2 linked regions of the Macaca mulatta genome follow. The protein of the gene in region 1 purifies or fractionates together with the protein of each later gene. This does not show direct contact. Links are inferred from orthologs where the notes say so. Each region holds a gene or a part of one and is shown on either strand. Other genes may lie near its edges.

What was found. Proteins that work in one complex are often made in the same cells at the same time.
Region 2: the proteins of TCOF1 (region 1) and ARRB1 purify together in Homo sapiens (affinity purification with western blotting; 5 studies listed by BioGRID and IntAct, with this or other methods). This does not show direct contact. The link is inferred for Macaca mulatta from reciprocal best matches to the Homo sapiens genes TCOF1 and ARRB1.

The regions. Positions count from the first base shown.
Region 1 is NC_133411.1:159,346,615-159,350,261, forward strand, and holds part of TCOF1 (treacle protein), read left to right. Parts: intron 1-2,436; coding exon 2,437-2,547; intron 2,548-3,647.
Region 2 is NC_133419.1:75,669,919-75,673,565, reverse strand, and holds part of ARRB1 (beta-arrestin-1), read left to right. Parts: intron 1-293; coding exon 294-353; intron 354-1,491; coding exon 1,492-1,559; intron 1,560-3,647. UniProt on the Homo sapiens protein: Functions in regulating agonist-mediated G-protein coupled receptor (GPCR) signaling by mediating both receptor desensitization and resensitization processes.

The sequences.
Region 1 (3,647 bases):
TGACAGACTCTAGCACTGCCAGGGCACAGGTGTGTGATGGACGTGACTGATGCAGGCCTGGCAGAAATGATAGATGTCAGCCGGGCACAGTGGCTCAAGCCTGTAATCCCAGTAGCTTGGGAGGCCAAGGCGGGCAGATCATGAGGTCAGAAGTCCAAGACCAGCCTGGCCAACATGGTGAAACCCTGTCTCTACTAAAAAAAAAAAAAAAAAAAAAAAATACAAAAATTAGCCAGGCATGATGGCGGGTGCCTGTAGTTCCAGGTACTCGGGAGGCCGAGGCAGAAGAATTGCTTGAACCTGGAAAGCGGAGGTTGCAGTGAGCCAAGATCGTGCCATTGCACTCCAGTCTGGGCAACAGAGTGAGACTCTGTCTCAAAAAAAAAAAAAAAAAAATAGATGTCAGGAGAGATGGTAGATAATGGTAGCAAGTAGGACAGACCGGGGAGCCCTTGCCCCATCCATAAGGACAGTTCCTATCAGCTTCAGCCAGTCATGACTATGGAAATGGACCTTCTTTGTGGCCAGATCTTCCATTTCTTAAGGGAAGCTGGAAGTCCCTGTGCCAGGCCAAGCTGCATAACCTCTCTTAGATTTGTTTTCTTCATGAGTAAAACAAGCACTGAGATGAATGCTCCCTATCCCTAACCTCTGCCTTTGATATAACAAACCATTACTGGGGGCGAAAGACATTTGGCCCTGCCCTCAAGGAGCTCACAGTCTGTGGGGCAAGACAGGTGGCCGGATTATCGCAGAGTATGCTGGTGGTGCTGACAGCTGAAAGAGCAGGTCTCTGAGAGGCCAGAAGAGGAGCGGGTGATGGAGCTGAAGGATGACCAGGCACAAAAGTGGACAGGGCCCCTCAGTGGGTGCAGACGGGCTGGGCATGAACGTGCATGGTCACTGAAGGCTGCTGTCCTACAAGCCGTAGGCCCTCCCAGGTGCTTGTTACTGGTAGATTTATGGAGGACCTAAATGACAAACTAAAGCATAGGCCTCAGCCATATTTTGGCCTGTGTAGTATTTTTGTTTTTAAGTTTTCAACGAGTTCCTCTCTCCATCAGAATGGCCTAAGTTGCAGGAGAAAGCCCCATTCAAAAGAGCTTCACTAAGGGGATTGACTCTTACAGTGCACAGAGTCCCAGGTTCCAGCTGCTGAAAAGCTGGTTCCTTCAGCTAAGCATCAGTGGTGACCAGATTTCCATCTCTGTGCTCCATCAGCTTTATGGTCATAGCAGGGCTGCAGCATCTCCTAAAGTGCTGGGGGCAGGCCAGGTGCAGTGGCTCACACCTGTAATCCCAGCACTTTGGGAGGCTGAGACAGGCGGATCACTGGAGGTCAGGAGTTCAAGACCAGCCTGGCCAACATGGCGAAACCTGTCTCTACTAAAAATACAAAAATTAGCTGGGCCTGGTGGCACTGGCCTGTAATCCCAGCTGAGGCAAGAGAATCACTTGAACCCGGGGAGGAGGAGGTGTTGCAGTGAGTAAGATTGTGCCACTGCACTCCAGCCTGGGCGACAGAGTGAGCAGAGCAAGAGTCCATCTCAAAAAAGACTGAGGAGTAGACTTAAGGCTACTCAGACCTCAGGCTGGACGTGCTAGCTACCCTCTTAGCCATAGACAAGAAGCCAGTAGTTCACATGACTGGCTGGGAGGAGGGACCACCCTCCCTGAAGCATGTGGTAGGAGCCACTGAACAGTGAGGGTTCTGTTAGCAAGTAACAGATGGGGGCATGGCTGTTAGGAGGCAGCCAGCAGTGTGCATTGTAGTTGCCCCATTTAAAAATCGGAAATGACGTGCAGATCTTCCAGCTTCTCTTGAGAAATTGGAAGCTCAGGCAGCCTGGGTCCTACTTTCTTGGCTAGGCTGAGTAGGGAAAAGGGGTCCCCCATTCCAGTAGGGACCACTGAGCTGCCATCACCACCAGCATTTCCACCCGGATCTCTTGAGTCGTCCTCTGACTGCAGTGTTCACCAGTCCAGCCCCCATTATCATGCCTGCCCCAGCAGGAGGGTATGGTAGCCAGTGGAACACTTCTAGGCAGCTCCTGCTTTTGGCTGGGGATGTTACAACCAGAGGTGAACTGTGCTGGGACCACTGGCTTGTGCCTGCAACTTTGTCCCAGGCTGCTGTCACCTCTTGTCCAGACCCTGGGCCAACAGCCCTGCAGCCCTCAGGTTTTAGCTGTATCGGAGTCATAAATCCCTTTCACGTTTGAAGTTAGCTCTGGAAGGAGCTAGCAGGGTGGAAGCATGTTTCCGGTGGCTGTGGGGCAGGTCAGAGCAGCAGCTATTCCTGTGCATGTGCAGGAAGGGGCCACGGTGCCTCCCCTGGAAACCAGAGTGCCTGAGGATCATTGCCTGCTGGCTCTTTCCCCCTCAGCAAATGCCCCTCTCCCCGACCACGTGCTTATCCAGGTCTTGTCCCCTCAGAAGGACAGTAACTCCAAACCTGCCAGAAGCAAGACCCTGGCCCCAGCACCTCCAGAGGGGAACACGGAGGGGTCCTCGGAGAGCAGTGAGGAAGAGCTGCCACTGACCCAGGTACGCCATGCCTTCTCTTTGCAGTCGCTGCAGGGTCAGAGCTGGGCTGGCAGGCCTTGCGGGAGAGGGCAGGTCTTTCCCATAGGGAAAAATCTCGTCATATTTAAACAGCATCTCACAGCTTCCAGAGCTCTTTCCTCTATTGTGACATTCGTCTGAGCCCTGTGAGGCAGGCAGCAGTGCACAGTTAAACATACAGGCTTCAGAGTGTTGGGGCGAAGCCCGGCTCTACCACCTAACAGCTCCGTGGTCCTGGGCAGACGCCTTTCTCCTATGTGAGGCTCAATGTTTCAACCATAAAATGGGGTTAGTACTAGTGCCTCCCTCCTGCCTCTGCACTGGAGCCAGCACACGAAGTACTTGCCACAGTCCCCTGCCTAAGAAAGGGTGCCTGGTAACTGTGAGAAGGCCAGGGAGTGTTGCCCCGTTTGACAGATCGGGAATCAAGCCTTAGAGTTGAAGCAGTTTCCCGAAATTCTCATGATTCATAAGAGGCTGAGGAAAGGTGCAAGCACTGGTCCCCTGGCTCCCTATATCTCTGTTGCCTGTTTAGGACCGGGATTCTTCTCAAATCCCATGAGCTTTGCCCAGGACTCTTTCTCAAGCGCCTGTGGCATACCTTCACATGCTCCACTGCACCCAGAGCTTAAGCCACAGTCCTGCCCAGGCTACACCCCCAAGGATGAGACCAGGCCCACCTTATCTCCCTGTACTCCAGAGGCCTAAGTCAGCCATGCTGGTGTGGTTCAAGCTTCTGTGTGAACCCTGGCCCTTCCATCAGACAGCATTACCCTTTGTCCTCCTCTAGCCCCAAGCTCCCAGAAGCTTCTGCCAGGCACCTCAGAGCACCAGCTCCCCTCCCAGGGCCTAACGACAGATCCTGGAGTTCTGCAACCTCCAGACCAGAGTGGTCTCATGAACCACCTCCCCTTGAATATCACATACCATGTTCTTACCAATTCATCAGTAAGGTCAGATGCTGTTTGCACACTTCCAGCAATAGGGTGCTCACTGCCTCTCACTTTCCAATAGCACAGATTACAAAAGTAAAGAACAACCACCACCAACATCGGTAACTCCCTGTATTTGCATTTTTCTGT
Region 2 (3,647 bases), on another chromosome or scaffold:
GTTTGGGGGATCAGGGTGTGGACATCTTTGGGGGACCATTATTCTGCCAACTACAGTAGACATCATAGAAAGATCTATTTAAACCATTGCTGTGAGAACTGGGCTAGGCCAAACTCTTTAGATAAAGAAAACTCAGACACTTGCGGGGCATGGGTTGGCATGGTCTGATGGGGTAGACATGGCCTGTCCCCTGGGGCCCTTGGTCTGATAGGTGTATGGGCGTGTCTGGGCTGCAAGACATGAGACAGGACAGTGGTGGATGTGATAGATGGCTCGTTCTGTCTTCTTGACAGATCCCTCCAAACCTTCCATGCTCTGTGACACTGCAGCCGGGGCCCGAAGACACAGGGAAGGTAGGTTACCCCAAGGGGACCATCTCTCTGGCTCCAGGACTCTCAGGTCCCCAGGTCCCTGGCTTTCTCCCTGGGAGGTGCTGGACACACAGAACCACTCTCCCTGTTGAACAGTGTTAGGCTAAGCTGGTCCCACCTTGGACAACCAGTCTCTCTTTAGACAGGGCAGCAGGTATGGGGTCAGCCTCACTCTCCCATTAAGTGATGGATCCAGAGGCCCTCCTGAGTGGCGTTGGTTGCAACAGGACCAAAGTGTTCTGAGGACCTACACCTGGCCTCACGTAACCCCTGGCAACCTTGAATCAAGGTGTGATCATCCCCATGTCACAGATGGGGAAACTGAGGCTTGGATAGAAGTGACACCACTAGCTGCAGACCTTTGAGCCCAGCTTCCTCATCTGCAAGATGGAGATGACAGCACGTGCCTCCTTGTCTTATTAGAGGGATACCGGAGAAGCCACCCAGGGCCAGGTCTGCACACAGTAGTAGTGGGTGCCCCCAGTCCGCTCAGGTACCTGTTGCTATTTCTGGGCAGCTGCCTAGATGAGGATGGCCACCCAGACTGAGGCAGGAGTCCAAAGAGCAGAGCCCTGTTTGGATGATTTGGGATGTCCCATGTCAGATGGAGGAGGCAGCACAGCACTGGGGCTGAGCACAAGGGCGTTCCCCTGCTTCTTCCAGACCGAGGAGGGCTGGGCTGTGGGAGCTTGGTGTTCCTGTCCAGTGTCCTCGCTTGTTTTTTTTTTTTTTTGTTTTTTTTTTTTTTTTTTTTTTTGAGACGGAGTCTCGCTCTGTCGCCCAGGCTGGAGTGCAGTGGCCGGATCTCAGCTCACTGCAAGCTCCGCCTCCCGGGTTCACGCCATTCTCCTGCCTCAGCCTCCCGAGTAGCTGGGACTACAGGCGCCCACAACCGCGCCCGGCTAATTTTTTGTATTTTTAGTAGAGACGGGGTTTCACCGTGGTCTCGATCTCCTGACCTTGTGATCCGCCCGCCTCGGCCTCCCAAAGTGCTGGGATTACAGGCGTGAGCCACCGCGCCCGGCTCAGTGTCCTCGCTTGTAAAATGAGAGGTAGGCTGGCTGTGTACTGGGGACCCTGCTTCTCCAAGGCCCTGTGGTCAGTGACCCCTTCCCCACAGGCTTGCGGTGTGGACTATGAAGTCAAAGCCTTCTGTGCGGAGAATTTGGAGGAGAAGATCCACAAGCGGTGAGTAGGATGCCAGGGTGTGGGCTGCCTGCTGGGTGAGGGAGGGAGACAGGATGGGCAAAGTCCAAGAGGAGATAAGTAACAATACCTGGAAGTGTGTGAGGAGGGGCGCACATTCCAGCCTTGGAAGGACACTCTGGAAGCTGGGAGGTCACGGAGGGCTTCCTGGGGGAGGTGGCTTTGACTGCCCAGGTTCAGGCTGCCGCATCTTCTCCTTCGCACCGTTGTGGAAGCTTCCTCCCTCATCTCCCTGCCTCTCATTTCATCCCCTCCAGACTGCATGTCTTTTTAATTTGTTTTGGAAAAATCCTAAATTCAGATTGTGTTAAACCGTGAGCAGGCTGTTTCCTGACCATCCCCATTTTCCAGTTTTCCTCTTGGGAGGAGTTCAGCAGGGGTTGAGTGTGTGTCAATGGCAGCTTCTAAGTGAGGAGGAAGTGGAGATAGTGAACCCATCCAGGGCAGAGTGACAGGGAGCTCGGCCCACATCCGAGAGGGGAAGCATTCTCTGGAGAAGCACAGCCTGGGCAGACAGAGAGCCCAGGCTGGCAGCCAGAAACAGCTGGCCCGGATGTCTCAGGCCTGCCCCTCCTGGGTCAGGCTGTGCTCTGCCTGCCTCCTGGAAGAGCTGGTGGGCCCTCAACGCTGATGTTCCTGCATCCAGAGGCACTGTTCCCAGAGGAGGTTGGCTGAGGGCACAGCAGCCTTTTTAGGGCATGGGCTGAGTTTGCCACCTGGTGGCTATAGGGTGTATTGCATACATTTGCATCTGCAGCCCTGCCTGTGTGTGGGGAGATGGGACTTTTCTCCCTTGCTTCTCTGTCTCCCTTTTCCTCTTAAGACCTGAGACAAGGGAAAAGGAAGGGTGCTGTGGGATGTGGGAGGAGGCTTAGCAAGCACAAGAAAGAGGAGGTGACATTGAGAGCCACCCCTCTCACCCTACCACCAATGGGACATTTAAAATCCACACCAAGGAGTTACTAATAATAATGATATAGAAACTATCATTTATCAAGGGCTGATTAGGTGTCAGGCACCATTCACAGTGCTGGGCTGTACGAACTAATTTAATCCTCATAGCAGCTCTAAGAATTAGGTCCTGGCTAGGCGCGGTGGCTCACGCCTGTAATCCCAGAGCTTTGGGAGGCCGAGGCGGGCAGATCACTTGAGGCCAGGAGTTCCAGACCAGCCTGGCCAACATGGTGAAACCCCATCTCTACTGAAAATACAAAAATTAGGCAGGTGTGGTGGCACATGCCTGTAATCCCAGTTGCTCGGAAGACTGAGGCAGGAGAATTGCTTGAACCTGGAAGGCAGAGGTTGTAGTGAGCTGAGATCGCGCCACTGCACTCCAGCTCGGGCAACAGAGTGAGACTCCACCTCAAAATAAATAAATAAATAAAATTTAAAAAGCAAAAAAAGAGATAGGTCCTTCTATCATCACCCTTTACAGATGAGGGAATGGAGGCAGAGAGGTTAATGTACCCAAGGCCACATAGTTAGCAAGAGGAGAGCTGGGAGTTTGACCCTGGCTCCTCCATTCCAGGCAATGGAAGCAGCTTATCTGAGCAATGGAGATGCAGCATTCCCAGCATGCCTCAGAGACGGCCTCACTGAGTCTCCCTCCCTCACCAGATCCTCATTTGCTCCCTGATCCCCTGTAACCTTCGTGGAGCCAGTCTCATCCATGGCCCTTCTCCCCTCCCTGGGCTTGTCCCCTTCACTGGCTTGCATCCCCCTGACTGAATCCACACCTCCTCCCTGAACCCCGACGCCTCCCCAAACCCCATTTCTTCTTGGGACCCCTGTCCCCTCTGCGTAGTTTTACATAATAGATATCTGGCATGTGTTTATTATATGGCACGCACAGTTATAGGTGCTGAGAGTACAGTTGTGAACACCTTAGACACAAATTTCTGTCCTTAAAGAGCTTACACAGTGTCCTGTGTCACCAAAAGAGATGACAGAGGGACACTATTTGTGTAAGGTGACATAGGGAGGCGGGAAGTGACATTGTTACCTATTTGGTGACATAGGGAAGCAGGAGGTGAAAATGTAGTCCCTGTTTCAGCCTCCTGCTGGGTACCA